Drosophila melanogaster: one gene and its partners. The protein of the gene in region 2 interacts with the protein of the main gene of each other region in a pairwise test. Each region holds a gene or a part of one and is shown on either strand. Other genes may lie near its edges.

What was found.
Region 1: the proteins of Spt (region 2) and U2af38 interact in a two-hybrid assay, tested with the Drosophila melanogaster proteins (one large-scale study listed by BioGRID).
Region 3: the proteins of Spt (region 2) and dah interact in a two-hybrid assay, tested with the Drosophila melanogaster proteins (one large-scale study listed by BioGRID).
Region 4: the proteins of Spt (region 2) and CG9173 interact in a two-hybrid assay, tested with the Drosophila melanogaster proteins (one large-scale study listed by BioGRID).

The regions. Positions count from the first base shown.
Region 1 is NT_033779.5:290,766-297,768, reverse strand, and holds U2af38 (U2 small nuclear riboprotein auxiliary factor 38), read left to right. Parts: upstream 1-3,087; 5' UTR 3,088-3,284; coding exon 3,285-3,328; intron 3,329-3,396; coding exon 3,397-4,147; 3' UTR 4,148-4,766; downstream 4,767-7,003. Other genes in the region: Stip1 (stress induced phosphoprotein 1), read right to left, coding at 720-792, 958-2,065, 2,141-2,423, 2,489-2,497; CG11562 (uncharacterized protein), read right to left, coding at 4,767-5,052, 5,109-5,200. UniProt on the Drosophila melanogaster protein: Necessary for the splicing of pre-mRNA. Binds to the polypyrimidine tract of introns early during spliceosome assembly.
Region 2 is NT_033778.4:8,917,917-8,925,474, reverse strand, and holds Spt (spitting image), read left to right. Parts: upstream 1-2,719; 5' UTR 2,720-2,825; coding exon 2,826-2,906; intron 2,907-2,968; coding exon 2,969-3,136; intron 3,137-3,195; coding exon 3,196-3,522; intron 3,523-3,578; coding exon 3,579-3,903; intron 3,904-3,967; coding exon 3,968-4,690; intron 4,691-4,753; coding exon 4,754-4,855; intron 4,856-4,918; coding exon 4,919-4,968; 3' UTR 4,969-5,205; downstream 5,206-7,558. Other genes in the region: CG8243 (uncharacterized protein), read right to left, coding at 772-2,207, 2,360-2,477; CG8248 (uncharacterized protein), read left to right, coding at 5,385-5,951, 6,009-6,125; CG34219 (uncharacterized protein), read left to right, coding at 6,661-6,883, 6,943-7,139.
Region 3 is NC_004354.4:15,325,310-15,332,967, reverse strand, and holds dah (discontinuous actin hexagon), read right to left. Parts: upstream 4,627-7,658; 5' UTR 4,525-4,626; coding exon 4,296-4,524; intron 4,233-4,295; coding exon 4,016-4,232; intron 3,959-4,015; coding exon 3,101-3,958; intron 3,037-3,100; coding exon 2,919-3,036; intron 2,857-2,918; coding exon 2,697-2,856; intron 2,635-2,696; coding exon 2,267-2,634; 3' UTR 1,966-2,266; downstream 1-1,965. Other genes in the region: CG9114 (uncharacterized protein), read left to right, coding at 26-1,424, 1,481-1,941; Top1 (topoisomerase 1), read right to left, coding at 7,050-7,152, 7,230-7,381, 7,443-7,658.
Region 4 is NT_037436.4:1,418,912-1,426,210, forward strand, and holds CG9173 (uncharacterized protein), read right to left. Parts: upstream 4,561-7,299; 5' UTR 4,452-4,560; coding exon 3,150-4,451; 3' UTR 2,288-3,149; downstream 1-2,287.

The DNA of each region.
Region 1 (7,003 bases), on a different chromosome or scaffold from region 2:
TTCACACATTATAATTACAAAAAGGTTGGCCAGGTTGTTGCTTTTAATCATTTTAATTTCACAACTTAATTCATTCGAAATTATATTTTTTCAAAATAAAGATTTGCAGTCTATGCTTTTTTCCGAAAATATGCGATTTTGCATTATAATAACATTTAAATTTCTTATTTAAAAGGCGATTGGCGCAAATCATTCTTTGTATAAATATAAAATATATTCTAAATAATTTGGCAGCCCTGGAAAAACGTTAGAGAACGACTGCTAAGCCGTAAGTTACCCATCTTGTAGCCCTTGGGCGCCAAATTCAAAATCATAGCTTACCCTTCCGTGACTCGTTTATTGTACAAACAGAAACTTATTTTAGAGCTAAGCTACAGCATATTTATTGTAGTAAGAAAATAAGGACCATGACGTTTGGAGCCTACTCCACCCGTCTGCGTAAATCAATTAGGCAGACATTTATCAATGATTTTGTTTTCTCCTTTTAGTTTAAATTTCTGTTAATGGTAGTTATCGTCGTTCTGCGAATAGGCGATGTGATTTCTTAGGTAATTACGTTTAGCATTAATTGTGGCCCGTTTCATCAAAAACGATATATTGGTTAACCAGCTTAGAGACGCCATAATAATGCGTAATGGTTCTCTCCTGAATGTTTATCAATGGGGTTTGTGTGTGAGTTAGTGATTGTATGAGGATGTTCGTTTGTGGATCTGGAGTGCCTAGTGAATCTGAATGATGCCCGACTCCAGCAGTTTCATTATCTTATCGGCGATGGCAGGATTCTGCAAGTGTCTGAAATATAGAGGTTGTTAATTAAAATATAGTATACAGGTTGTTAATAATATATAAGACCAAAGAAACGTAAGTCTGCTTGTTAACTTCAAATGGGCTATTAATTTCTAGATTTTACCAATGAAACCCAAAAAAGCGAACGAATAAAGCCAAACGGGTACTTACTCTTTGACCGCATTGGGATCGCTTTGCATCTGCTCGAGGATCATACGCATAGCCGGATCCTTTAAGATCTGTTGAATCTCCGGGTCGGACATTGCGTTTTTGAGGACCTCCTGCGGATTGCGCTGGAAGTTCATCGAACACTGACGGTAGCCTTCAATGGCCTCCGCGTTGTTGGGGTCCAGTTCCAGGGCCTTTTGGTAAGCGGCTTGCGCCTTAGATTGTTGCTGCATGCCCTGTAGAATTTTGCCCTTGCGGATGTAGCCCTTTATGAACTTTTCGTCTAGCTTGATGCAAGTGTCGCAGTCCTTGAGGCCCAGATCAAAGGCGGCCAGCTTGGTGTAGCAGGCGGCGCGGTTACTATAGAGTTTGGGATCATCCGGATTGCGCTTGATGGCCTCGGTGTAGTGCTTTACAGCGGTGCTGTAGTCCCCCTTCTTAAAGAAAAGGTTGCCCTGCTCCTTCTCTTCCTCGGCCTTCTCCGGATTGATGTAGGCCATTCGCTCCTCCTCCTTGATTTTGGCTTCCACCTCGCTCAGCGAGGTCTTGATCTCAGGGGTGCGATGCTCGGACATGGCCTTCTCATAGTAAACCTTCGCCTGCTTGTAGTTCTCTAGCTTACGATAGGTGTTACCGATGCGAGCAAAGGACTTAGCTATCAGCTTAAAGTCGGCGCGGCTTTCGCGCCCCACCTCAATGCCCTTCTCGCACTGCTTGATGCACTCCTCGTACTCCTTGCGCTCAAAGTGAACAGCAGCTATGTTGTTATAGAACGTGATATCCGTGGGATCGTGTTCAATGGCAGCGTGGTAGTGTTTTAGGGCCGTTTCAAAGTCCTTTTTCTTGTAGGCGGCGTTGCCCAGTTCCTTCTCCTTCCTCGCGAAGTACTTATTCTTCTGCTCCTCAGTCATGTCCTCTACCCGAGGTTCAGCGGGCTTTGGGGGCTCAGCCGGTTTCGCCGGCGGTGGCGATGGAGCCCTGCGGCTGCGTGCCTGCTGGGGATCAACGTCCATGGGTATATCCCCCTGCGATTGCATAAAGCTCAGAGCCGAGGCAGTAGTTTCCATGCGGCCTTGCAGGAGTATAGCATTCGTGGGATCGTACTTGAGACCTGCGCCGGTAACCGAGGTTAGTGAGGTTAGGTCGGGTGATTCATGGCATATAACTGAGCTGTGTTTGAACTTACCCTCGTTGTACGCTTCGAAGGCCTTCATAAAGTCATTCAGACCCGCAGCGGCAGCTCCTTTGCGTGAGTAACCCTTAGGCCAGGTGGGATTAAGCTGAATGGTCTTCTCCGCATCTTCTAGCGCCTCCTGGAACTTTCCAGCCTTGGCGAATGCCGCCGAACGGTTGCTGTAGAGCACATGGTTCTGGTCGTCCAGAGCGATGGCCTCTGTGTACGCCGCCACCGCCTCGTCGAACTTCTCGGCACTGAGCGCCTGGTTACCCTTTTCCTTGAGTTCGTTCACCTGCGAAAACCGCAAGGGTTTTTGATTGGAAATGCCAACGCCTTTCCTTTGTCTCGGGCACTTACCTTGTCCATTTCTGATAAGGGAGAGGATAGCGCTGTCGAATTACAGTTTTTCCTGTATTTTTGTACGACTTTTTAATAAAACACGCTGCGAAATGTGCCGTGCCAGGTGAAAATGCGAAAAATGCCGACTTTTCTAGAAGCAATCGATAGGGTTGTCAATGCTTCTGCGACTGAATTTAATCTTTTTCCAGACTGCGGTTTAGAACTTAGCTCGTTCTCAAGCGGGGAACAAAACCAGCAAGCCTTCTTAAATAATTTTTTCCATTGCTTATATAAATTAAAAAAATTGTTGATCAAATATAAATAATACCTTGAGCTTTATAGAATTTAAATGTTATTTTATTGTATTGTTTATTTATGTTTATATTATATTATTATTTGCGTAAATAATTTTCTCAATTTCTTATTTTGAATTGTAAAATTTTTCTAGTCAAATGAAAAATAAGTCCTCAGGCTTTTAAGTGCATTAATATTTAAATATTTGAAATTAATATTTAAAATGTTAGCATATTTTAAAACATTTAAATTAAGAACAGAGGTATCGAAAAACGATGCTGCCAAAAACACTAAATATCGATAACTAATCATCGATTTTATTTGCAACTCTAGATTCGAGGCTGGCAACGCCGTGCAAAATACGACCAGACGCTGCTTTTTTCGGTTTCCGAAAATAATTGAAAATTATCACTAAATAAACAGGCGGCTAACATAATTGCAGTTTGACCGCGTTGCAGAGACAAGCGGGTAGATAAGTTACACATTTTGGCCACAGCAACACCACAGTAAAGCCGCCAGCATGGCCGAGTACTTGGCATCCATTTTTGGCACGGAAAAGGACAAGTAAGTCGCATGGCACATTTATTTTAACGTTGCCGGGATTAATAACTAAATGGCGTTGCATTTCCCAGGGTGAACTGTTCGTTCTACTTCAAGATCGGCGCCTGCCGCCACGGCGACCGGTGCTCTCGCATCCACAACAAACCCACTTTCTCGCAGACGGTGCTTCTCCAAAATCTATACGTGAACCCCCAAAACTCCGCCAAATCCGCGGATGGCTCCCATCTGGTGGCCAACGTCTCCGACGAGGAGATGCAAGAACACTACGACAATTTTTTCGAGGACGTGTTCGTAGAGTGCGAGGACAAGTACGGGGAAATCGAGGAGATGAACGTGTGCGACAACCTAGGCGACCATCTGGTCGGCAATGTGTACATCAAATTCCGTAACGAGGCTGATGCGGAAAAGGCGGCAAACGATTTGAACAACCGGTGGTTCGGTGGTCGACCGGTGTACTCGGAACTATCGCCGGTGACCGACTTCCGCGAGGCTTGCTGTCGGCAGTACGAGATGGGCGAATGTACCCGCTCCGGCTTCTGCAACTTCATGCACTTGAAGCCCATCTCGCGTGAGCTGCGAAGGTACCTCTACTCCCGCCGCCGTCGTGCCCGCTCCCGTTCCCGATCCCCTGGACGCCGTCGCGGCTCCCGCAGCAGGTCCCGATCCCCGGGTCGAAGAGGAGGCGGCAGAGGCGACGGTGTCGGCGGAGGAAACTACTTGAACAACGAGCGGGACAACATGCGTGGCAATGATCGCGGAAACGATCGCGATCGCCGCAAAGGTGGTGGCGGAGGAGGCGGTGGTGGTGGTGGACGGTATTAAATATTCTGGACATTTTTTCTGTACGGTGGCAATTGAGAGAGAAAGCAACGGACAAGCAGTAACGCAAAGCATCGTGTATTTTAGTCTCTGCGTTGGTTTTCCACGTTTTTATATCACTTTTGAGTAAACGAGATGGAAGGAGGAGGAGGAAAATGACGATGGGGAGTTCCACCACCTATGTACAAACCCCCCGCGAAATATTTTACCGAGCGCCCATTAGAATTGTAATTTACTATACATACATTCATAATAATAAAATTGAGTAATATTATACTGGAAGCCATAGTAAGAAATGGGTCTAATTGTCAAAAAGTCCAGGCACTCAAAATAAAAGACTCCTCACAGGTATGGATAACATCCAGAAGACACCACCCCTTGTTAGGCCTGCAGTCTTATTTCGCTTTGTAAGATTGAATCTTACCACGTTGTTTTAATTATATTTCCATGCGCAGATGGCTTCACCAACTGAAAACGATCAACAGCGTAAATGATGCTGTCAACTGTCTTAAGACGAAATCTTAAAATCTTCAAAAATGCGTACATTTGAACAACGAAATTCTTGTTTTCCCCGACTTAGTCTTAGATTTTAATAGGTGCATATTTAGGGGCATATTTGTGATCAAGCTATGTCAGTTGGCGGGCTTCCATCGTGATTAGTCGTTCCACCCTGAGGAACACCTCTGAAAGCCTCGCCTTCATTTTGCACTGCTGGCTTCTCCGCTTGAAGATTACTCTGTGCGCGATGCGTCGATGGAGGTACGGGCGTGTCAGAGGAGTTGCTAGACGCCTCCCTGGCTTTCAGTTGCTTGGTCATGTCTATTTGCTGCTGCAGCGTGTAGGTATTCTCGTGTTTGCGCCGTTGTTGCTGCTCAACGTCCCTCAGGACACCATCGTGCAGTCTCAGGCTGGAAGTTAGAGATCGGAGGCTATAACTTTATTCCGGAGTATTTGGCTTACTTACCGGTCTGCCGATTGTTTATAGTGCACATAACCTATGATCGCTGTGGAAATGGAGACCGCCAGTCCCAAAGTCACTCGCGAAGCGGTCGACATGACTGGGCACCGGTCTGCCGCTGGAGATTTCCGCCTAAAATGCCTGCACTAGGAATTTGGCTGTCGGGTTGTGTTGTTTTGAAGTCGGTTCGGGTTACGACATGACTTTAAATTTGAAAGAAAAACAACAGCACCACACAGCTGACAAGAGAGTGGCCAGTTTACGGAAGCAAAGTTTTCCCTATCCAGAGTTAGTGCGCGGGAAAATCAAATTAATTCCCTTCAAATCAGCGCAACACTTTTGGGGGTCCTAAAGCCAATTGCAGTTAGAAAATCTCAGACTATTGAAAACTTGAAGCTTTAGACGAAAATACAATTTCGAAGTGATGTATATAATAGCGATTTCCGTATCTAGTATCTACATACATATGTACTACAGAACTTCTAGCCTTTATCAATGACTTTTTATTTAGGTTTTTTATACTTTTATCTACAGCTATGACGCAGTGCCTAAAAATAAAAGCAGATGCTTATCTCTCCGCAAAGATATCTTTTTAGTTATGCCTGCATTGTTTCGACTCATCTGGTTACTCACTAAGCAACATACATCTTAATGGGTGGGGGCGATTCATTCAGGTGATTGGCCATCATTAACCCATAATGGAGCCCACACTCCCGAATCCGGAATGCGAAGCCCGGAGTCCGTCTTCCGTGGTCGGTGGTCCGGACATGCGCAGCACGCACCTGATGCGAGCGACTGGAGGAACGACACCACAAAACCGAGGCAGAGACAGAAGCAACAGCCAAGTACAATGGAAACGAGTACAAAAGGCAGGAGGCAACACGGCGTATGGGCAACAGTGCGACTCCAGTTTTCCATACGCTCAGTTGTGCCCGCGGTCAAGGGAAAATCGCAGCCGAGCACTTCCTCCGAGCGAAGCCAAAAAGAAATCAAGAAAATACTTAGCGTGCGTGTGCCGGGGACCTGGTGATTTGTTCAGAGTGTGGAAATCAAACGAAAGGCAATCAACAATTGTTTTTAAGGGCCATAAAAACCATTAAGTTATTAACATAACCGATTTATAAACAAGAGCCACGGGGATCTTCTTCCAGGGCGGTCAAGATTTTCAAGATTTTTTCAAGATATTCCTGGCCAACTTTAGGTTCCATTAATATTTATGTCGGTGACGCAAATATTGATTTAAATTTGTGCGCGCTTTGAGTTGACGAAAGCGAGGTGTTTTGACTCAAGAGCTAAAACACCTTGACGACGATTTTAATTCACTTCTTTCGCCCCACCGCAAAGCACAGACAAAAACAATACACCAATTTTTCTTTTAAAATTGAAGAAAAATTTATTTTCAGTTTATCAAGGGATAGTAGTTCTAAATGGTTTCTTTCTTTCTTTGCCTAAAAAAAAGTTTTATACTTAGCACTTTGTACTACATGAAAATTTCACAATTGTTGATTTAGATATATAATTAAATTATGCACTGTATATGGAACACTGAAATGTAGCGAATTAGAACTTGAGGAACATATTGCAAAATTTTTCTGCCCGTGTAACGTGAAGTCTCCTTTGGCTTTTCCTGTGTAGGATCTTTGAAAAATCCACAAGATGACCAAAGTTGAGCTATACAAGTCGCGCGTCTTTGTGACAATCATACACCTGTGTGCACTCGGCCAATTCGCCTATGGACTCTACTACAGCTCCTTCGAGATCCAAAGGAGCTACAAACTGAAGACGAGCCTCAATCGCCGCCTGGTTCCCGAATCGCTGCCCCAGAAAATCAAATTGCTGTCCTACTGGTCGCTGGTAAGTTAATTTACGGCGTGCCCATCGAAAGCGCCACAAAGATACAG
Region 2 (7,558 bases):
AAGAAGCTGTTTATCTAATGAACTAAATGTAATGCATTTTGTAGTTCTTTAATATATAAATTAAAAGCACGAGGTCATACATTACCCGTATTTACTTACTTTGAAATCAGCGACACAACGAAGCACATACAATTGTCTGAATATTTTATTATTACACAGTTCGAAGTGGTTTGATTTCTTCCTTAGACATAGCAACTTAAGAATCGAATACAATAAATCCGTTGACAACCCGCCATGATATTTTAGATTCACATTGACAAACAGGCGTGAATAAGTTCTTAAGGATATCAAGCATTTAAAAAGTACTGCGCCAGAAGTCTACACCTTACATTCGTACCCTGGCGTGGACGATTTTGAATGCATGCGTATCAAATACCTAGCTAATGTTGAAAAATAACATGTACATTTGATTGGAAAGTGCATTACGTTCTGTGGTTCAATTTTCAATTTTAAGTAGTTGGGTGTTACACGCGTATGTATGTACCTTTTATGATTTAATTGGAATAGATTTAGACGAGCAGACGCGATTCCTGGTGGACATGGAGATGGACATGGACATGAACATCGTTTAATACAGTGGCTTGCTCGACAATGAATTCTTCTACGAACACGAATAGGACAACTAACTAAATTGGCAAGTTGTTGTATAAATCGAATGTATATAAACAAGCATCGCCGTCTCACACACACATGTTGCAACACCGAGACGAACCGAACACTCGTGTCTTACAATTAATTAAAGGAATACAACTACATAAATACACCGCGTATTTATTGCCACACATTACCGATATTAAGATTCCCAAACTGCTGGTTCAGATTTGACGGTACTGAGGAGGTGGTGGGCCCCGTTGCGGCAAATCCGCCCGCTCCTTGTGGCGGTTGGCCAATGTTCAGCCCACTGGGCAGGGGCTGCATTAAGTTCATGGAGAGGCCGCCAAGCTGTGGGTGATGTTGCTGCTGAAGCTGCTGCTGATGTTGCTGCTGCTGTTGCGGAACAGCTCCAAAGAGCGGCATCCCACTGAGAATGCTCTGGTTCGTTTGCATAAGATTTGTTGCAGCTGCCTGGCCTGCGGCAGCATAGGGACTGCCCCCGGTGCTGGGAAACTGGGCTCCAGTAAAGCCATGGGAGCCGCCCATGCTCATCGCAGTGGCACTGCTGATGGCAGCATTGCTGAACGCATTCGGTGCAGCCATAACTGGCGAATTATACATGCTCACCGAGTTCGGCGGTGTCATAAACTGGTGGGGGATCTGCTGTTGCTGCTGCTGGTGCATATAGCCGCCTGGGGCCATGCCCGTGAAGCCGCCAAAGTTCATCTGGGGGTTGTGGGTGGCTGGCGCGCTGCCGTACAGCGCCAGAATGCTGTCCTTGGACATCTTGCCAGACTGATCCTTCTCGTTGCCGCCGGCGCCCAGTGAGCCCTGGTTGAAGAAGTCCTGCTCCTCTTGTGCCAGCGAGTTCGGCTTCGAGCCCATCAAATTGGCGGCGTCGCCGTTGCTGCCAATCGGCTTATCCGGCTGGCCGGCAATCGATTCGGCGCTGAGAAAGCTGGTGAAACTTTCGTTTTGCAGGTCTTGGCTGGCATTGGTCGCGACAATGGGCTTGGTGGGCGAGGACAGTCCCAAGAGGTCGCTTTCGCCGGCACTGCTAACGCCGCTGCTGTTCAGCTGGACGCGTTGCGTCGTCTTTGGGCTGCAGCCGCCGACCTGGTTGGGTTTCGGCTTTGGAAGCGGCGCGGGCAGGGGGGTGTTCTTGAGCGCCGACGCAGATGACCCGGACAGGCGCTTGTCGCCGCTGCCACCGGCCACTCCAGCCAGGCCCAAAGTGGCCTGGGCCTGCGTGCTCTTCTTCTTGCGCTTCTGGCGCTCAAGCTCCTCGTCGATCTCCTTGGCCCAGTCCACTTTCGGCGGCGAGGGAGGCACCCACTCGCGGGCCAGGTACTTCTTGTGCTCGTACTTGGCCCGGATGAAATTCTCCAGCGCTGTGTCCGTCTGCGGGCGACGGAAGCCGTCCGGCAGCTGCGCCTCGTAGACGGCGCGAGCCCGCGAGTTTCCCATCTGCTGCAGCGAGATCACCTGCTCTGGCGTCCAAGTGTCCAGGTTGACGGACTTGACGCGCGATATGTGCACGCCCAGATTGCGATGGATGCCGGCGCAGCGGATGCAGAGAAACATGCCCAGGTTCCAGGAGGCCCAGCGCGGACCTAAGGATAAAAGGTAGCATTCAGTGACAGCACATAGGCTCATATCGCAGTGCAGCTGCATGTGTGGTGTGTATATCCACGCACGCACGCACACAGATGTGCGTCACCAAGAGGCGTATCTCTTGGCGGAGAAGTGGACCCCATTAACATACCCTTGGCATCGCAGTCCACGCAGTACTTGTTGTCCTCGTCGCGGAGCATCTGCGTCAGGAGGGTCTGGCACTTCTCCTGAATTAGCTTCGTGCGCTGTCCCGCATTCGAGGAGCTCATTTTGGGGTATGCTTGCGGTCTGTGAGGCCTGGTTTCGATATTTGTGGCGGGGCGCAACTGTGCGACGTGGCGTGGGCGACGGGTAGAGTTGGCGGAGCTTATCTCTGCTTCACATGGATATACAACTACCAGCGAATTGAATTGACAATTTTCTACAAGTTTTTGCTACCGAAAAAGTGATGCGTCCAGTGGGACCGTGTGGCGGTGAAGGCAGCTAGCCTCCCTGGTTGTCACTAACGCCAAGCCGTGCCATCTTGCCATTCACAGGGAACCGAAGCCACTTTTTAAAAAAGTTGTTTACTTTTACTTCTGCCCACAGAACATTTGAACTCACATTTGCCGGCAAAAATGGAAATTTTGCGAACGAAACTAGAGGCCTGCCTGCTGATACTGAACAGGAACAATGCAGCAGCTGCAAACTGGCTGAATGTAAGTGGGGGAAACGGACCACTAGCCCCAGGACATCAATCACTTGTTGCTTTGAATTTCAGGACCTGTGCGCCGTGCTATTGGAATTCGCTACTTTGGCCCACAGCTCCTTCTGCTCCCAGGGGCAGTCGGAGTGCTCGGAGCTGGTGTGCCTCTGCCTCAGCCAGATTATGATCTGCATTCGCCAAGTGGAGAACACCATGAAACTAGAATGCGGCACCACAGTCTCGGTGAGTAATTTGGATCTCATCCATGCATTGCACAATGATGTCTAATCCTCTGAAAGCAGGTAAGTCATCAGTACTTCCTGGACCGCATTCGCTGGTGCCTGAAGCGCCTCATGCATCTTTACAGCGAAGAATCGAGTTCCGAAGCAGTAGCTCCGGAGCGCTCGTTCCTTAAGCTGGTGGATGGCGCATTGGATTGTTTGGCGCAGTTCACCTCGCACAGTGAGGAAAACACCGATACCTCCAACTGTCCAAAGACTCCCAAGGAAGTCCTTCCACTCAGCCAGAAGTTGCGCGCCAACATTGATTTGATCTTGGGTCAATCTCTGGGATTCGCCAATGTGGCTTTGTCTCAGGACAAGAGGGCTCTCAGTGCCTTGTGCCAAAAGGTGGGTGTACATCTTCTGCAGTATCCCCTTATTTATTCCCCTCATTTGTGCTCTAGGTCATCCGGGAGTGCAATGCCTTTCAGGAGGAGTGCAAGGAGTCATTCAGTGCCAACTACCTGTCCACCCTTAAGCTGCGGGCCATGACCATGGAACAGGCAATTTACCAATTGGAGGACTTTATCAACGATGCGCTTTTGCGCTTGGTATTCACATGCTTCCTGGACTTCGAGAAGTTTTCGGTAGACAAAATTAGAGCGCTGTTAAGGAACAGCCCAGATAATGATGATCTGGCCGATGAGTTCATAGCGGACTTTGATGTGAACATAGATCGCGCCACCCAGATAGGCATTTTTGCCATTTCCTTTGCGCCCAACTTGAAAAGTATAATAATTATATATAATTATAAAAAAAAACGCAATTAACTCCAGTACCAATTCCTTTTCAGTGAAAACCATAATGCGCAGCTGTCTGGCCTCCTTTGAATCACTGGACACCACTCTGATACCTTCACTGCAGGCCCATGGTTCCGATTTGCACTCGGACATCCTAGAGCAGCACTTTAACGAGGAGGTGGCCAAGTTCAAGGCAGCGCTTCAGGAGATCATCGACAGCCGCGCCCTCGTTGGTTGTTGCCTGGAGATACTGACCTCAGGGATAAGTGCAACGGAAAAGCTTTTCGATAAGCAGCGATTGGAGGACTTGGTTCAAATCTCTTTGCTGCTAGTCGAGCACTTTCAGCTGGAAGTCAACCGAAAGGGTCTAAGCGAAACGCAGGACCGATTGGGGGAAGAGTACTACCAGCAGTTCATCCGGGTACTGCGCGAGTGCAAGGCTATTTTGATGTGCGCATCCCAGGTGGAGCCGCAGAGAATCCTCAAGCGCTTCAAGATCTTGCGCACGATCTTGCGCAAATTGCACGGCTCCCTGGGAGCTGGTAAACAAGAGGAGGAACTTCCTATTCCCCTGGCTCCCCTTTTAGCTGATGATACCAAGGGGGTAAATGAAGACGAAACCCATTTCACTGGCTATAAAACAGCCCGAAGCGGCAGTATCCTCTACGACACAGAGCGTAGGAATAGAGTAACTAGACGAACGGACAACAAGCTACCCACAAATACCTTGGACATTAAATCGGATAAGGCAAAACCCCATGGAAATGTTCTGAGAAGTAAGTCGGCTGATGTTTAGATAAATTTGGTAAGGTTACCAATGTTTTGAATGCTATTTTCAGGAGAAAGTTTACGGACTGTCATGTTCAAGCGGCAGAATATAGCTGAAAGCAGAAAGCTATACACCTCCATGAGTAATCAGTCTACGGATCTACAAATCACAGGTACCTAAAATGATTACATTTCCTATTTTATAAGTTTTTCCATTAAATTTCGTATATTTTTAGATATACTCGACCAACTCACTGGAATGTCCAATGGATACTTTGAATGCTGAAGCATTTCAACCATTTGTACATAACTTTTTATTTAGTTTAGTGTTTAAGTTCATACCATTTAAGAGATTTTGCAATTCAAACTTAACGTACGTCGCCACCTGAATGTCATAGGTCAGGTCAGGCATACACACAAACATGTATGTTCCTCGGGTGGCGAAGAGTATCGCATCGGAAACAGTTTAGACTGTTGTAAAAGTAGAGCAATAGGTTCCAATAAATATATAGACACATAGCACACTTGTCAGCGCATCTCCCTCGGTCGATTGACCTTTCAATTGCACTGGACACCCTCGTTCAACCCAACATGTGAAGCTGTGTGGGCAATCCCTATCGATTTTCCACCACGAGCGGCAGCCAGGACTCGCAGTCAACAGATACACACGGTAATTGCTTGGTAAACAGTAAGCACTCGGCTATGAAATCTCTGGCCGGCGATAAATTTGCTCTGTCCGAAGAGATTGGGCCACCGCCTTGTTCTCCCAAACACCGAAAAGCAAGTGCCGTGAGTAGGGACACGGATACAAATAACCATCATGTGGTGCCGCTGGGGATCCTCGTGGTGCTCTGCACTGTGTATCTCATGGTAGCCGGGATGCAGCGCAACTACAGGCACTATTTTAAGCCGGGCGTGGCTGCCTTCGACCTGCACCATGCCCAGCCGGAAGCCATGGCCGACGCCGAATTGGATGTCGCCGCTCCAGATGCATCGTGCCAGAGGTTGGACGTTTTCGGAAAGGAATCCAATCGGAATCAGGCAGTTTCAAGAAGATCCCAAGGCAGGCCCACGAAGAGAACCAAAAACGGCACTGGAAATGGGGTCAGCAAGCAACCTCGTCGTTTGATAAAGTCCCCGGAGGGGCACAAGAAGAAGGAAGTTGGCAAGAAGAGTAACACAGCGGAGCCCATTATTTACCTGTTCGCCCTTGTGTTTGTCTATCTGCTTCTGAAGGCCGCCTCGGACATCAACCAGCACTACAAGTCGGTAAGGATAACCCGCATTCCATTCCCTATTGCCACGTGAATAATCCTTCTTCGGCAGCAGAACAAAGGGGACAAGCGACTGCGCCGGTGCTCGCTGCAATCTTATGCCCAGATCCACAAGCAGGATCGCCGGTCATCAAAAGGTATTTCACCAAAATCTTTGCCAAAGTTTTAGCTCGCTGGGGGCCAGGTGCCTAGCCTATTACACCGTGTTAACGAGGGATCAAGTGAATTGTTATCCTATAAATCTAAATGTATCTACCACTATGTACTGAACTAGCCAATCTTCTCTACTCTAAAGCACCAGTTTTCTGACTTTTTCGGAAAATGTATTGTTGTGTATTGTGTATCTCTCGTCTGTCCTCAATCTCTATACATCTATACATCTGTACATCGCACTTTTCGGGCTCGATTATGCGTTTGATATCTGTGTTTTTGAACGACCTCCACTGTTTACCTCCTCTTCACCTATCTGTGAAACTGTACTGAATCCGAATATAAGGTTGTACATACTCGAATGTATATTACTGTCCTAAGTGTACGTAATCCTAAAATAAATCAATTACTATGTGCTTTCCTGTGATCAATTTACATACGTAGCCGTGTTAGCTTGCGTTTCATTTCCTCCGTTCGATTGGGCTTTTACGCAATCCTCTGCGATCCTCTCTCACCCCGAATCCCAAACTGACCGCTCTACATTTCCCCAATGCATGCCAAAAGTGGATGAGTCCCCCATCTTCCGGCGCAAGCATATAATCAGCGAGGAGCGTTCCGTATCTGTGGATCGCTTCAAGTACACGCTAAACGATGAGGGAGGCTTCACCAGGTCCGTTCCGCTGGTTCAGGAGTATCACTACAGGGTGGTATCTCCTTTGGCCAGCCGACCCAGTCAGCAGCATCCGCATAAGCCGGGATCCGGAGAAGCCCGTTTCGGTAAAGAGTCCCCACAACAAAGTGACACGTCCCATAAGACCAACTACTTTCTTCTCTAGAGCCTCGTCTTAACCGTCGCTCCTCGGTTCCGATCAGCATTAACTATCAAACGGTGCACGTATCGAGTCCACATCCTCCGGAAATGGCCAGGCGCGGCTCGGTGATAAGCCTCACTGGGCCACCACCAGAAGTCAGTGGTATGCCAAGTGGAGCCGCTGATCCAAAGCGGCGCGTCCGCATGATAAATCGCCATTGAAGTCCAGAAGTCCAGATGAGATCAGGACACAGCCCAACGAAATTGCAAAGAGACTACAGTATTTTAACACACCATTCGGAAACAGAAACCGCACACGTTGTAGTCCTTCTTAATGCGTTTCTTTTAATCAGTTAATTATGTTATATTATTCAAGTGTTTTAAAAAAACGTACAAAGAATATTCTTCTCGAAGACACCGAATTTACGCCCACTTCGGCGGGCAGCCGTTTGCCGCAGCATTTTGCCATCCTATTGTACATTATTCTACTTAGGGCAAGATTAAAAAAATCTTAGGCTAGCGTAGTGTTTAGTTTGGAATTCAGTACCTATGATATAACCATTATCTACGAACTAACTACGAACTTGTGATGCTCATTACAATTACAATGACAATTACATACAGCTGGGTATGTATCTGGG
Region 3 (7,658 bases), on a different chromosome or scaffold from region 2:
CATCCATCTTGTGGCTTCCGCATCCATGCTGCCGTTTGTCCAGGAGAATGTGCCGGAGATGCTGCTCCAGCCGGCCCGGTTGGCCTTCTGCGCCAATCTTCACGTGGGCCGACCGCGGGATGACCCCACTACATTGGTTTTAGCGAGAAACCTAAAGTTCTACGAATTCCGGCGCAAGGATCTGGTGCACTACATCGATTTGAAGGTCACGAAACTAAAGCAAATAGCCACCCAACTGGAGGCCTACGACGGACCGGTTTGTCCCTTTCTGTCCAAGCAGGAACCCACTGACGAAAAGGTGGACTGGAGCATGCTGGATCCGCCGGAGGATTTGCCCCTCAAATTTGGAAAGTTTGTGTGGCAACGGGAGGGCATCTACCTGTTAATTCAGTGCTGGAAGCATCTCGTCGTCCTAAAGAGGCCCAAGGATCACGGGGCCAACTTCGAACTGGTGGCGGATCACAAGGATGTGGTGGACTACCAGATGGTCGAAGGTCCCATTTCCTTCCAGGCCGTTGTGGAACTGGAGTTCGGCAATGGCAAGCGTCAGCGTTGTGATTTCCAGGAGGATTTCTTAAATGAGGAGCCCAGCACGTCCAAAAATGCGGGCTTGCCCGCGAAGGATTTCGAGAACCTGCTGCAGGAGGTGCACCGCGCCCAAGCCGAGCTCGACAGCCAGCGAATGCAAAACCAGAAGGAATTAGCCCACGTCCAAGACCTTCTATACTTCGGCACGCCGGGCCAGCGTTCGCTGCTCCTTGAGGAGAAGCAGCCGCTCCGACGACTCGGCGATGTATGGACTCGGATCTGCGGCGATTATTTTGTTTGTGGCACTCTGCTAGTCAACATAACTGGCACCAATCGCCTCACCATAGTCAAGGAGTTGTATCCGATTGTTGTAATCGAACCACACACCGACTTTAGCGTGGAGCACCGCCTGTACGAGCTGCCTCTGCAGGCGGATGGCCAACCACCCGAGGACTACGACCAGCTGGCGCAGTTTTGGGCCTGCCAGGATCAGCATAGCAGGCGTCTCAAATGGCGACCGGTGGAGAAGGAAAGAATACTACCGCCGGAACGATCTGCCGCGATGGTAGTGAGCCTGCGTCTGGTCGATCTTCTTGAGGCAGAGAAACTCATATTGATGGCAACGTACGAGATGGGCGAGGATGCATCCCCTAGGCAAATCCATCTCATTACCTTCGATGTGAAGAAACTGCTCGATAAAACAGAATCGTTGGCACCCACATTTTCGCCCGCCACGCTGCACCAAGACTTTTTGGCCGTTATTATGACGCACACGGCACGTTGCTCCCTGAAATTGGAGTTCCAGTCGGCCCAGGATTGCACGACATTCGAGCAGCTACTCGTCTCCACGCTGCAGTTTCAGTTGATCCAAGCCCAGGAAGCAAACAAGGAGCCGAGTGAGTAGCTTTGTCAAGACCACTTGTTGTCCCTTTTAACTCATAATCCCTTACAGCTTCCGACTTGCTGGACGACAGTGAGCCTGGGTCTCACTTTCAGTCTTCCAACATCGCCGCCGATCCTGTCCAGCGTATTTTCTACAATCGCCAGCCGCAGTCACAGTGGTGTGACACCTTGCTGCTTCGCGACGATCCCGGAAAGCATTGGCATGTGTACGCCAGAACGGACGATCGATTGCGTCTGCTACTGCATCGCCTGACGCGCGATCTCCTCCAGCTGCACTGCAACCTCAATGTGCTAGAGGTCGCTGAGCACAACATGTCGCCTGCCGACATGGAGATGGAGTTGCTAAACAGTCTGTTCGAGGAGATGGACGCCTGGAAGGTTTTGAGTGAGCCGGCAGCCAGTGTGGAGCAGCGCCGGGAGCAGCTGACGCAGCTCCACAAGGCACAAATGGCCAGCGATGTGTTGGCTTCTATGCTATTCACCGATGATGATGATGACAATGGGGCGTAAATGCGTTTTTTTTTTCTTCTCTTTGCATTGGAAAATCTACAAAGTTGATATTTTGTATGTAAATGCTTTGTTAACAATGTGTTTTTTGCATTGTATATTTTTATAAAAACATTTTGTTGTATTGCATTCTTGTCAGAGTTGTAAGTTTACAAATTAAAGCATTTACGCGAATGTTAAAGCACATGGGAAAAGGAAGAAGGATATAATAAATGCATGACTCGGTTGTGTCATTTTGTCACGATTACTTTAGAACAACTTTACAACTTAAAGCTAAGTGGACTTGGTCTGGCTGGAATCGATGGGAGTTGGTATCCGATCCGGATCCTCACGTGCTGATGCGCCGCTGCTGCTCCTCGCTCTTGATGATGCTATCGAGAACGTTCTCCAGATTTTGCGTGGCCGCCGACAGTTCGGCATTATCGCTGTACGAGTCCTCGACGATCTCCTTGACCTTGTGCAGCAGCAGCTTAAAGTTCACCATCTCGGTGTCGCGGCCATCTCCGCCGTTTGCCGGCTGCTGTTCCAGTAGAGCACCCAGCGGCATGGGCAGCGGCAGAGGAGCCGGCAGGGAACCAGGTCCTTGTCCTGGCTGGACACTCGAGCGACGCTGGTCGAACCACAAGCTTATGTCGTTGAGCGAGTAATCCGATTTGTTTGCCTCCAGATAGCTGCGATTCAAGTCGGCGCCATTTACTACAAGAAACGATTAACTTAGTGGAGCTGTCTCATGGCTCTGTTGAAGGTTCTCTTCTTACTGGAGTGCGTGAGATTGGCACCCACGGGCGCATACATGTCGAATAGCATCTGTCGCTGAGGCGTGCTGGAGCTAAGGAACGTGGAGCTGACTAGGGGCGCAGCTGAAGGCGCCACTTGGGCAGCTGGCGCAGGTGGCGGCGAAGTTACCGCTGAGGCATGCTGCAAGTGTATATAAATGGAGTTAGCTCAGCTTAAATGGGCCGAATGTTTGGAAAACTCACTGATAGCTGTCGCATATCCTCGATAATCTGCAGCAGAAAGCACTGATGGGCGCTCAGAAACTGCGATATTTCCGAACTAGATGCGGTGGCCACTGTTTGCAGCTGGGTTTCCAGCTTCCTGAAATGCAAGAGAACCTTAAGGCTTGGCTAACAAGTGTGGCGAAAGAAGGGAAAACACCCACGCATTTTGCAAAAGCAATCGATCGATGATGGACTGCAGCCTGCTGGACGCCTCGCTGGCTAGACCCGTCAGGGAGCAGAGCTCCTGCTGCTGTTGCTGCAGGACAACTGTGCGGTCCTTCTCCTGGCACTGACTGCGCACACTGCGCGTCTCTGCGGGAATGGGCGTGGCAGCGGATTGACCCAAGGCGGGCCCACTCTCCTGCGCATTACAGAAGCCGCGACGCTCCTCCTCCTGTGTTTTGCGCGGCATCACCAGCCAGCCGCACAGCCTGGCCAGGTGGCGGGTCCAACGCAATGGCGGCTGATCCTCCACGAAGACCTCGCACATCCGATGACCCGGCTCGTGGCGACCACCAGCGAAGCCCACTGCAAAGCAGGGCAGGCACAACGATATATCCCTACACACCTGACACCGGAAACGTATGCCCACAATGTGCTCCTTGCGGCAGCCGGCACAAGAATTACTGTGAATCAAATGCTCGGTGTCCTCGATGCGTTTCACCAGTGCCAGCAGATTGCCATAGATCAGGAATCTCGTCTGGACACCCGCTCCCGTCCAGAGTTTGTGGAACTGCGGCTCGGTCAGTCCACCAACGCCATGCGGACAGCGGGCAAAGCACTGCTCCATAGCCAACGGAAGATTGTGGACGCCATAGGCCTTGGCCTCGCCCAAATAGCTGAGTAACTTGCTCAGCGTGGCTAGGAGCTGTTCGAATGCATATCTGGAGATGATCTGCGACTTGGGATCGGCCAGCAGGCCAAAGATGTCGCCCACCAGGTGATCGCTGCTATATAGCTTGCACAGCAGTATGAAGGTGATCCTGATCTCTAACAGGGATATGGAGTGTCTGCGTTGCCTAGCGAAACCAATCAAATATCAGACATATTCTTAAGATGCCAGAAACTCAACCCACGGATCGTAGACATTCCAGAAGAAGTTGGCCAACAGCCCGGTTGCCCTGTCCAGTTTATAGTTCGCATCCTGGTTGAAATGGCCTAGTTTCTCGCAGGCAAAGTATACATCGTGCAGCAGGGAGGTCAACTGGAATGGAGGAACCATCAGTTCCAGGCCACCACTCAAGTTATGGCGATCCAAAATGGCCAAAACCAGCTTGTAGGGGATTTTTCCAGCTGCAATTTGAAGGTTAATCCTTGGGGACTCCTTCGAATGGACCACCTACGCGACTGACTCACTGTGAAATATCTTTTGCAGCGCCACAAATTTACTGGCGCACCGGTATACCGTGTACTTGTAATTCCCGTAATCCCGCTGCAAGTCATCCATGATGGTGGATAGCTCTTTGTCCACCTGTTGCTTTTGTCCTTGGCCACCTTGGGATCCCTTTTCGCGGGCAATGGACGCCACGGCCTCGGCGCTATTTCGCAGTTTTGTCAGCTGCACGGGCACCGACGATCTCAGCATTTTGTCAGGCGTTTATTGTTATATATTTCCCTTGATTCTCGAATTAATTTCAGTCTCTTTTAAACGCGTCGTTTCTCGCGATCTCTTCCTCTTCCGTTAGCGCAAAAGTCAAATTGTGTGGCGTGAGGTGGCAACGCCGCGCGTGTTATCGATATCACTTCGCCGAACCGTTAGCGCTTTAAATTTGATTCAAAATTATTATTATCATTAATTAAGTCATCCGTTCGTTCTAAGAATATTTGACCATGATATAATAATTGGTAAATAAGTTTGAGCAACGGGAAATGTAAACTGAACAACTTGGGTTCACCATAGTATTTTCCCAATTTCAAAAACAAAACAAAGTTATTTAAAAACCCTTCTTTTGAATGCGAATAATTACCCAAAACGAGGAAATGGAAAGAGTGTCACATAGATTTTAAAATTAAATATATATTTTATGTATATTTGCATCATTCCATTGCAATTACATTCACTTATGCTATTTTGTTTTTCATTTACTTTGCTTTCGATTTAAAATAGTGGGTTTCTTATCATTTCGCTTGTTGTTTTTTGTTTGCTTATATCAATATTATAATATGCCAAGTTTATATGTGAGTGTTGTGGCGGGGCGGGGCGGGGCTGGGCGTTCGAAGAAGGGTTCGTAATTAGTTTATTTAACTTTTTTTTTTGCCTTTTAAAAGCATTCTCCCGCTTCCGTATGCGAATCCACGACAAACGCACACAGATGTTTGCGTTCACATTATATCAATCACTAATTATAATATGTGTTTGGGCGTGTGTGTGTGTGTGTTTATATGTATGTATATAAAGATCGTTCGCTCTTCATTTGCAATGCGCGTTTGCCATTTATGCTAGGGGGGGCGTGAGGCGAGATATAAATTTCCATCGATTTGCTTAGTTAAAAGTACGGCCATAATCGTAGCTGATGGGATTGGGGCACATGGATGTTGGGGATGTTCCTAACTCCACCTGAATCCACTGCTCTCGTCGACTGAAGGATTCAAGTGAAGGCTCGATTTTTACAAGGTTTAAGGTATAGTTTTAGCTCACTTAATTGCACATACTTCTATAGATTCTATATGTATAAAGTTCCTTTCTTTCAGATTAAAGTTCTTTCTTTCGCTGCGACTGGTTTGCTGGCTGTGTTTCTGTTTTGGTTCATCGAGTTATTTGAATTGCTCGTTTGATTTGTATCTGCAATTGGTTTTCAGTGTGATGGCGGCTTGGTTTGCGGTTGAGAACTTGAAACCTGTCTGCTTAGAGTATAGAAAGTTAAGGGTCTGTCTGCAAATCAATTTAGCATTTGTATATTTCGAAATGTTAACTAAAATGATCATAAGGTACGAAATCAAAGCGAAACCACATCGAGATCCATCCAATGTGGCTTTGTTCTTCATTTTCGGGGGCGGTCGGTCGACAAATAGCGCTGCTTCAGAGTTGAATTGAATAAATTATGCTATGCTAAAAGTTGGGCTACAAGGTTTCTCTGTTCAGTTTGCACTTATACAAATTATTATTATTATTATGATAGATAGAATAGTTTACAAAACTAGACTAACTTAGATAGTATAGCATTAGCTACGGGGCTTACAGCTATATTTATTTACAATGTTATTATATCTTAATTTAGTTAATATCTAATTTGGTAACTAATTGCTGGCTTGTTATGTACAAATGCCTGTTTTTGTTTTTGTTTTTTGTTTTCGCTAAACAAAATCAACTATAGGTAAACATAAAAAAAATTGCGTTTTAAATTGTATAATTTTCGTTTGCTTTTGCTATTAAATATATATATATATATATAGATATATATATACATCTATATTTTTATATATATATATATATCTATATATATATATTTATGTAAATGTATGTATTATATTAAAAATAAAAATATATACACAAATATTATTATATACATAAATATAAATATATATATGTATATATGTTTTATATGTAAAATTATGAAGTATAAGGGTATCTTGACAAAAAAGTTCTTTTGTAGAGACATAGAAAATTATGCTCCTGATTTGTTTTTAGGTGGCGGCGACGTCTTGCCCAGGTTTCACATCTCCTCTTGCCTTTAATGAATAAAACTGACATATATTGGATTAGCTTGTGTTTGGGTGTGCACATTTCGCAAGTTAGACTTCGGCGTAGTATGCACTTGATCCCATTAATCCCATTCAAAGCAGACAAAACGGACGCGTACAAGCGGTTCCACGACTACGATGTAGTGCAGCATTCCGTCCCGCTCATTTTGGCTAACAATCCCCCATTGCGTTGGCCGAAAGCTGGACATATGCACTATCAATTGCATAAACTGTGGACCAAACAATGGCGGGATTGGCATGGAATCTATTTATAAACCGGCCTTGTGGTGGGTGTGGTTTGTTGTTACATCTTCTTCGATCGGGTGCGAGTGTGTGTTTGTGTGTGTGTCTGAAGGGGTGGTGGTGGGTGGAGGAAGGGTCGGCGTACTTGTGTGTTTGTGTCTAGGCGTGGCTGTGAGGAGAACCCATTTAGAAACGATAATTCTCATCGGCCATATGAACGGCCCACAGAAATTTGGTTCTTTGCGTTTTGTTGAATATCTTCTCAATCGGCACGTCATGCTTTTTACACCTGCAAATGGATGATATATATATATATATTAGTTCTCGTTGAGTGGAATGTGCTGCTTGAAGGGAGAGACCACTCACCAAGCCACCGATATGCGTGGATCAAGATAGTTTAGCTTAGATGTGCCCAGGGCAATGGTCTTATTCTCGTCTCTATCAGTCTCTTGTAGTTCTAGTTTCTTCAGCTGATCCCTTAGGCGCTCCAGCTGTTTGCCCTTCTTCTCGTCTCTCGACTGCATTGGTTTATAACAATTAAACATACTGCTAGCGGAAGAACCTCTCGAATATACTTACATGATACTCGGACTCGCATTTTTCGATGGCTTCCCGCTTGGCCTTGATCTTCTCCTTCAGATTCTCCATTGACTTCTCGTGGCTCTTGGGCACGGAACGCTGATGGTTACAGAGGATGGCCACGGCACGGTTGGCGCGATTGTAGGCCAACAGCTTTTCCGGTACCGTGGCGCTCGGATCGGTCAACAGATCCAGCTGACTTTGCAGTGTTTTCGA
Region 4 (7,299 bases), on a different chromosome or scaffold from region 2:
CTAAACAATAAGCCAGTGCAGCCAACTGGCCGAGTGAAGCCAATGGGGCAGTGCACTGCGAAAAACAAAGGTGTCATAACCAATTTAAAATCCTATCATCACTATCATAGCTATGCTACTTGTCGTTTCTCGCAGTGCATGATGATTCGAACTGGGCCTGGGACATGGTAAAATTCAAGTTGAAGGCGAGGCGATAATGAAACCAAAGTCAAGCACATCGAGCCAGTCCAGCCTTTGGGCCCTCCTTTTGGGTTGACAGGTTGTCCCTTGTTGCATACCCTGCCCCAATCCCAATCCCAATTCCACTCCCTCCCTGCCTCCCCGTTTGCCCCAACAATATACCATTCTGGGTTCTGGGAAGTTCTCATCCTCTCACACCCGCTCACTGCACTTCGTGTTTGCCCATTCTGTTATCAACTATTACAATATTTTTTGTTTAATTGACAAACAGGTTTATCATTAACATTTTTCTCACTGCTCTTGGCCACGGACTCCAACTGCTCGGATGCGTTGGCGGCGGCCTTCTCCACATTTATTTCGGCGTTTCAGGTGGAAGCGGCGCTTCAGTTGACGTCGCTCCAACTGTTTTCCCACACTGATTTCGGATCACGCTGGACACCGTGAAGCGGCGGAGCAAACTCAACCACAATGGGATGATGTGAGAAGTGTACTAACTGATCAATAAATAGGAAGTTCGGGCTAAGAGGCTTCTCCTATCCATGGGAACCCCAGATGTAATCAATTGTCAACCAGATTTTGGATTACATTTTAAAGACCATGAGTGGGTTTACCTCTTTACCCACTAAAAGTTGAATTAGCGTCATAGCTTCACTTTTAATCACACATCCAGTTTTAACAACTCAATCTCGACAAAGTGTCGCCAAAAGTGCAGCGGATGGAATGGATGGCTTTTTATCACCTTTACCACTTTGATATCTAAATACTTTGAGGGCCTGCTCGGCAGCCTCGTAAACCGCTAAGTGCTACCAAAGTTTTCGGGATTAAAGAGCTTCTGGCCGCTTCGGCTGCCGTCTGGATTGTTTGCTTTTGGCGCTGCCGTGAAAATGCATTTTCCACCCCCCTTCGACCATCGCTTTCCCAACTCCCGGCTCCGTGTGCCCGTTTTCTCACCTGAGGCCAAGTCTGCAGCTGCCGTGTCGATGCTCGTTTTAATTTGTTTGTTTACATTTTCGGCTGCCCCCCCCACCTGCAGCCGCGGCGAAGTTTGTTCCCATCCCGCGGCTGGGCGAAATGTTTGGAAATAGAGGTCGGTCCATGGGGATTGGGTATCGGTGGGAGTAGGCTGCACCACTGGGAGCTGGGCGTGTGTTTTGGTGTTAACAACTCGACACTTCATTAATTGAAGTTGAAAAAGAGCAGCTATAAAAAGACCATTAAGCTTCAGGCCCACAACAATGCAGCAGATAGATGCCGCATGTACACACAAAGAAATTTTGTAAAGTTCTAATGCTTGCCTTGGGCATCTGATAAACTTATGTTTTATCTTTTCATATATATAAACTTCAAATGCATTTTCCGAGTGCAAATGATTTTCGAACTATCAAAGTGAACTTCGAGTGGCTGCAGTGCGCATTGAATGCAGGGATATAACAAATTGAAAGACGATGGCGGGAAACTTTCCGAGTCTCAGTTCGCATTAGACGCAAATTTGATGGCTATTGAAAAGTTCAATGGTTTCGTGCGTCTCTTGAACTGCCTCCACCAAGTTGCCTCCAAGTTTCATCCGAAGCCGAAAAGTGGCACTCAATTGAGTGTGAGAGCTTTGTTTACCACACACATGCCGAAGCAAAAAAAAAAATTTTTTGGAATGGGAAGACAGACATAGACGCATCAAAACTGGGCTAATAGAGAAACTCAATGTGAGCATATCATAATTAGAAATTTGGCAAGACGTGGCATTATCTAGAGATATTCCAATATTTCCAAACATTTAATGGGCATCGCTTAATGGCACAACTCTTGGGCAAGAACCGATCGCGGATCCATCCAAAGATCGCTCCCCCAAGCGATTGGATCGTCGTCACACATAAATAGTTCACGAGCCATCCGAAGGCAGTGGACATAAAAATAAATCTATATGCAAATGTGACTCCAGTTTAACATGCCACAGCGACAGGCAGATGGAGATGCAGGCGGCAATTCGAGGGTGAAGTCTAGGCCTAGCCAAAAATATGTAGGGTAAACACGGGTGATTCGACTACAGGAATGATAATGATAAAAAGTCAAAGTTTTAAATCTAAACCAATAATAAACCATCTATAAAATTAAGATCAATATGTTGCCATTAATAATTATTATATTTATGTAGCTGTTAACATTCGAGTATGCCCCTTTATCTACGAATACCCTATAAAAATAGTTAAATCCCGACAGTCAAGGACTCCTTTCATTGCAGGCCCATCCCAGAATCCCTGGCGCAGAGGCGTCTGCAGTTTAGTGCCTGTCTCTGCGACTTTGAATCTTACAAAATGTGACAAGTTGCGGAATTATTTTTCGCAGAAGATGTTCTTCGACTTGGGTTCTTTTTGCCCATTTAGTTGCAGTTTGGTTTAGTTCGGTTCTGTTCTGTTCTGCGTGCAGATGAGCTGAGATTGATAAGCGGCGAGGAGCGTGAACAGGCCCGAATCCGCGGATCCGCACCATCCTGGTGGTGCAGCTTGGAGGAGCCTCTGTTCCAGCGCGAGATGCAAGTGCTTAGATAAAGGCAGCGATTTATGTGGAAGCTCCTGGGAGCTGCTGGGCGGAGCAGCCGGCGATGACAACAGTAGCTCCATCCCATCGAATGCCACGTCCCATTCCGTCCTCCAGCCGCGAATAAGCCGAGGTGCCAGCAATTTAGTGGCGATTACAACCGGCAATGGCATTTTAAGTGGCCATTGTCAAGACGCGATCTGTGGGCGTGTGATAAGCGCCGGCTCCCGTGTGGGCGATCGATTCCCCAGGTGTGGGAGTGGGTGGCCCGGATGGTGGCATGGTGGCATGGTGGCAGCTCGTTGAACCAAACTTGGTAGCAGAGGTGAGAAAACACGTTCTGTACTTAGACTACTTGTTTCTGGCTATTAAGGGTCAACAATAGCTCTCTTTTCATCACTCAATAATTTATATAGCCAAAATTTAAACGTACAAAATTAGTCGTTGCACTTCATACACTTCGGACCAGGAGGATGAATCGTTCGCGGCACATACGATGGATTCCTCTTCTGAGCCACCTCCTCGGCCCACAGTTTGTTGAGATAATCCTCCAGCTTGGCCACAACATCCTCCTCTTTGTCCACGCCGTCGGAACAGGTGGCAAAATCACTGCCCGAAGATGCAGATGAAGAAGTGCTGTGGCAAACATTCGAGGACTCGCTGCAGGAGTCGTGCTTGCAGTCGATGGGACAATGGTGATTGTCCCAGTCCTCTGGGGGTTCCACAGCTTCATCATAGCTGGTATCTTGCTCCTCTTCGCCAAGCGGTTGGGAAACAGGTTGGGAAATGGCCACTGGTTCCTCCAGACGATACCACTTCACCTTGTAGGAGTCTTGGCCGCATTCGCCAAACTGCTCGCCCGTCAACTGATCGATGTTGCATTCGCAGATGAGGAAGGGCGAATTGCACTGCTGGCATCTGGGTAGATTAACCTCATGGTTGATGATCGGACGCGGTGGCTTCTTCATCCTGACCTCCTTATCCATTTGCGGAACTTGCAAGCCACAGATGATGCAGGGTTCTGGTAGATCTGCACCCTCCGACAGCTTGATCTTCATCATTTGCCTTTGGCCGGCCTTGGGATGTCCGGGAACTTCCTGCTTGGAACAGCCCTTGCAAGGACAGCCCGGCACCAGGAGGGGATCCGATCTGGTAGTCATCCGTTGATACAGCGCTGCATAAACCAGATTGATCTGCCTCTCGTAGTGCTTGTGGGCCCAAAAGAAGGCCGCCTTGTAGTTGTCGAAGATCCTGGATGTCTTGTGCGCCGCATGCATCCAAGCAGCATATTGGGTGTGCACCGCCATCGCATCCACTATGGGATTGCTGATCGTCACCGGTGGCTTGCCGTGATAGAAGGCCTTAAAGGCCCGCTTGATGATGGCATAGGTGAGCATCGCCTCCACCGGTTCCATTTCGCACTTCAGTCGCAGAGCCTGGAGCAGGTCCTCCCGATTCAAGCGACTGTCAGTAGCCGGATTTGGTGGACAATTGGTGCGCAGTCGTTCATGGTAAACGAAAGCCCTCTTAATTATCGACCTGGCAGCGCTGGATTTGCTTGTGCTGATGCCACAGATCAGCATTATCTGCGCCAGGCTCTTGGCTATATCCTCCACATTATCGTCAAACAGTTGGTAGGGATCCAGCTTTCTCCTGCAGTTGCAGCAGCACCGCTTGATTCCCCCAGGAGGAACTCCCGCCTCCTCCTGCAGTTTTCTGGCCCTCTCATAATTGTCCATTGCAATTTGGTTGTTGATGAAGTAAGGAGACAGCAAACGTATCACTTTAAATTTCACTTTTGACAAAACACAAAAATTGTAGATGCTATACACAGATTTCTGATGGACCATATAGTCGCAGACTACTGTATCGAATTCTTTGGCTATTCCATGAAAAGAAAGCTCATAAACTAACCAATACAAAAGTATTGTCAACCTATCTGGCATCCATAAACCTACCAATTTGTGAGCAAACTTGACACACAATTTGATTTGAATGCACAATCTTCGATGAAGAATGCACTTCCCATTTCGATTGGAACTAATGCCATGGCTAAGTTTACCATAATAGAACAATAATCGGTTTGTCCCAATATTTTCCCTAGCCTGTTTTAATTTGGTTATCTGACCCACTGGTGGCCCTATCTAGGATTACACACAGACCCCACACAAGAATGCATTATTTTATCTCGGGACTCGGGTCTCGGTTCTGATCGTAGCTGCAATTATGCTAAATAGATTCGAGCCGACTGACCATCGAAATAAATAAGCGCAAAGAACACGACAGAGCCAAACGATGGCTGTTGTGTCAGACCTAAATTGTTCAAATAAATTAAGTTGTAGCTTTCGAATGGATTGGGGGGATTTGGGAATTGGAGATCGGTGTCTTTGGTGTGGGGATTGGGGCAAGCAAATACGGGAACGTAAACGTTCAGAGGCCGCCGCCTGTTGCATTGTCATTTGATAAATTATGATATTTGATCAATTGTTCCGCTGCGGTGGCTGGAAGTGCTGCTGCCTCGGATATGTGGAGAAGAAGTACGTGGATGAGATGAAGACGTCTCCGCATCCATGCCCGCATCAAGTCCACCGAATGAACTTTTGTTGGGTTTACATTGTAATGGCATCTGGCGGGGCAAACACACAAACACCCAGTCAGTTAGGCAGTCGGATGGTTAGTCCCATATCCATCCATTCATCTGCATAATAGAATTTCCAGGGGTATGAGCATTGGGGATTTCGAAAGGGGGTGAGGCTGCCTCTTTATTGTGGCTAATAGGCCTCTTGGCCGCTTTGTTGTTGTGCCGCCTCAGCCGCCTTCGTTTGCATTCGCTTTGGTCACCATCACCTCACCATCTCCATCTCCATCTGTACCAGCTCACCATCAACATCTCACTCTGCCATTGGCATTTCTATGTGGATTAATGAATGGCAGCAGCTCCAAGATGGGTAGGAATAAGCTGAAGATGAAGTCACACTGGGAAAAATCGTATTCTATTCTCTTACAATATCACATCCTTGAGATATAAACTTGATTTTAGTTGTAAGAAGCAATCTAGCTATAGATTTCGTATTTTGCTCGTACTACTTATAAATGTACTTAAATCATCGACACTTGCATATATATTTTTTTTTTTTTGCTGTGCCTCAAAGTAGACATGTGTTTACCTTCCACATAGACACACACACACACACACACACATCCATTGTCCCGCGTATTTCGCACGTCTTTTTGCTGCGCTGCGCGAATTTCGTCATATACGAGTCCGGTCAGCCGTAAACTGCAACATAAACCTGCAAATCCACTCTGGGGTTTGCGCCGCGTTTCTGAGCGTCACGGTGTCGTTCCGGAATTCACGAGTGATCCAGTAAACTGGTAATAAATCAGATCAGCTGCATCAGACAATACAGCTGATAGCATTGCCAACCTTTCGCAGTCGACGAGCTGGTTAGACTGGCGTTGCCAGATCAGCGGTGCGATCGTCATTCGGCCGCGCGCTCGTTGGGCGCGAAATTCGAATTCAAATTCAAATTTGAACTAATTAAGTTGAACAAAAATTTGAAATATAACCTAAGAACTGAAGCTAGTTCTATTTCCCACGGAGCGCTGGGGACCAACAAGCCAAAGTCCCCCTTTTATATCTGATGGACAGAACAGGGGGGGGCAGTGCCCCCGACCCCAACGACCCGTTTAGGAGGAGTGGTAGGCTATCGAGATCCCCTATAAGAGGAGTCGGAACCCAAATCCAGGGAGGGGGAGGTGAGCAAGCAGGCCCCCCGCCGCCGAAAGCTAGCGACTGCAGTGCAGCTGTGGAGGTGGAGACTCTGGCCACTACAGTCTCCACGACAGCCACAAGCCTGAAGACAATGGATTTCATCAGCGTGCCGGCCCAAAGGGCGGGAGCGAAGTCCCCATCAGGATCGCCGCATCGCTCGCCAGAACTGACCACGACGCTCCAGAATGAGGACCTGCAGGGCATCCTGGACATGATGAAAGCCAAGATCACCGCCATTCTATCCTCGTTCGAGACTAGGCGTCACGTAACCAGCGAGGATAGGGGCGTGCTAGTGGACCTATCGGCGCTCAATAAGAGAGCGATTGAGTTACAGGAGGGTATCAACAAGAAGCCCCCACCAAGGAGTACTGCCACACAGACTGAGGCAGAAAAGACAAAGCGTAGCCAGGTGGCGCCACCCAGACAGGCATTACCGAATGTGCAGGTCCGCAAAACGGACAACCATCGATCTGCCGCGAAATCCACCGGGAAGGCGTTACCCACGACGGCTGACTCCAAACCGGAAAGTTATGCGTCTGTCGCCAAGGACGCTAACAAGGACGAGGAATGGGCTAAGGTGAAGCCCAAGCGCCTGCGCAAAAAACCTGAGGCGCTAATCCTGAAAAAAACGGGTGAGGTTACGTACTCGGATATGCTCCGGAAGATGAAAGCAGAACCGAGTCTGACCGAATTCGGCAAGCACGTGCGTAAAATAAGGAGGACGCAACAGGGAGAACTACTTCTTGAATTAGAAGGTAAAGCCTCGGAGGTCATCCCCAGCTTTAAAAATGAGCTAGAAGCGACGCTCAAAG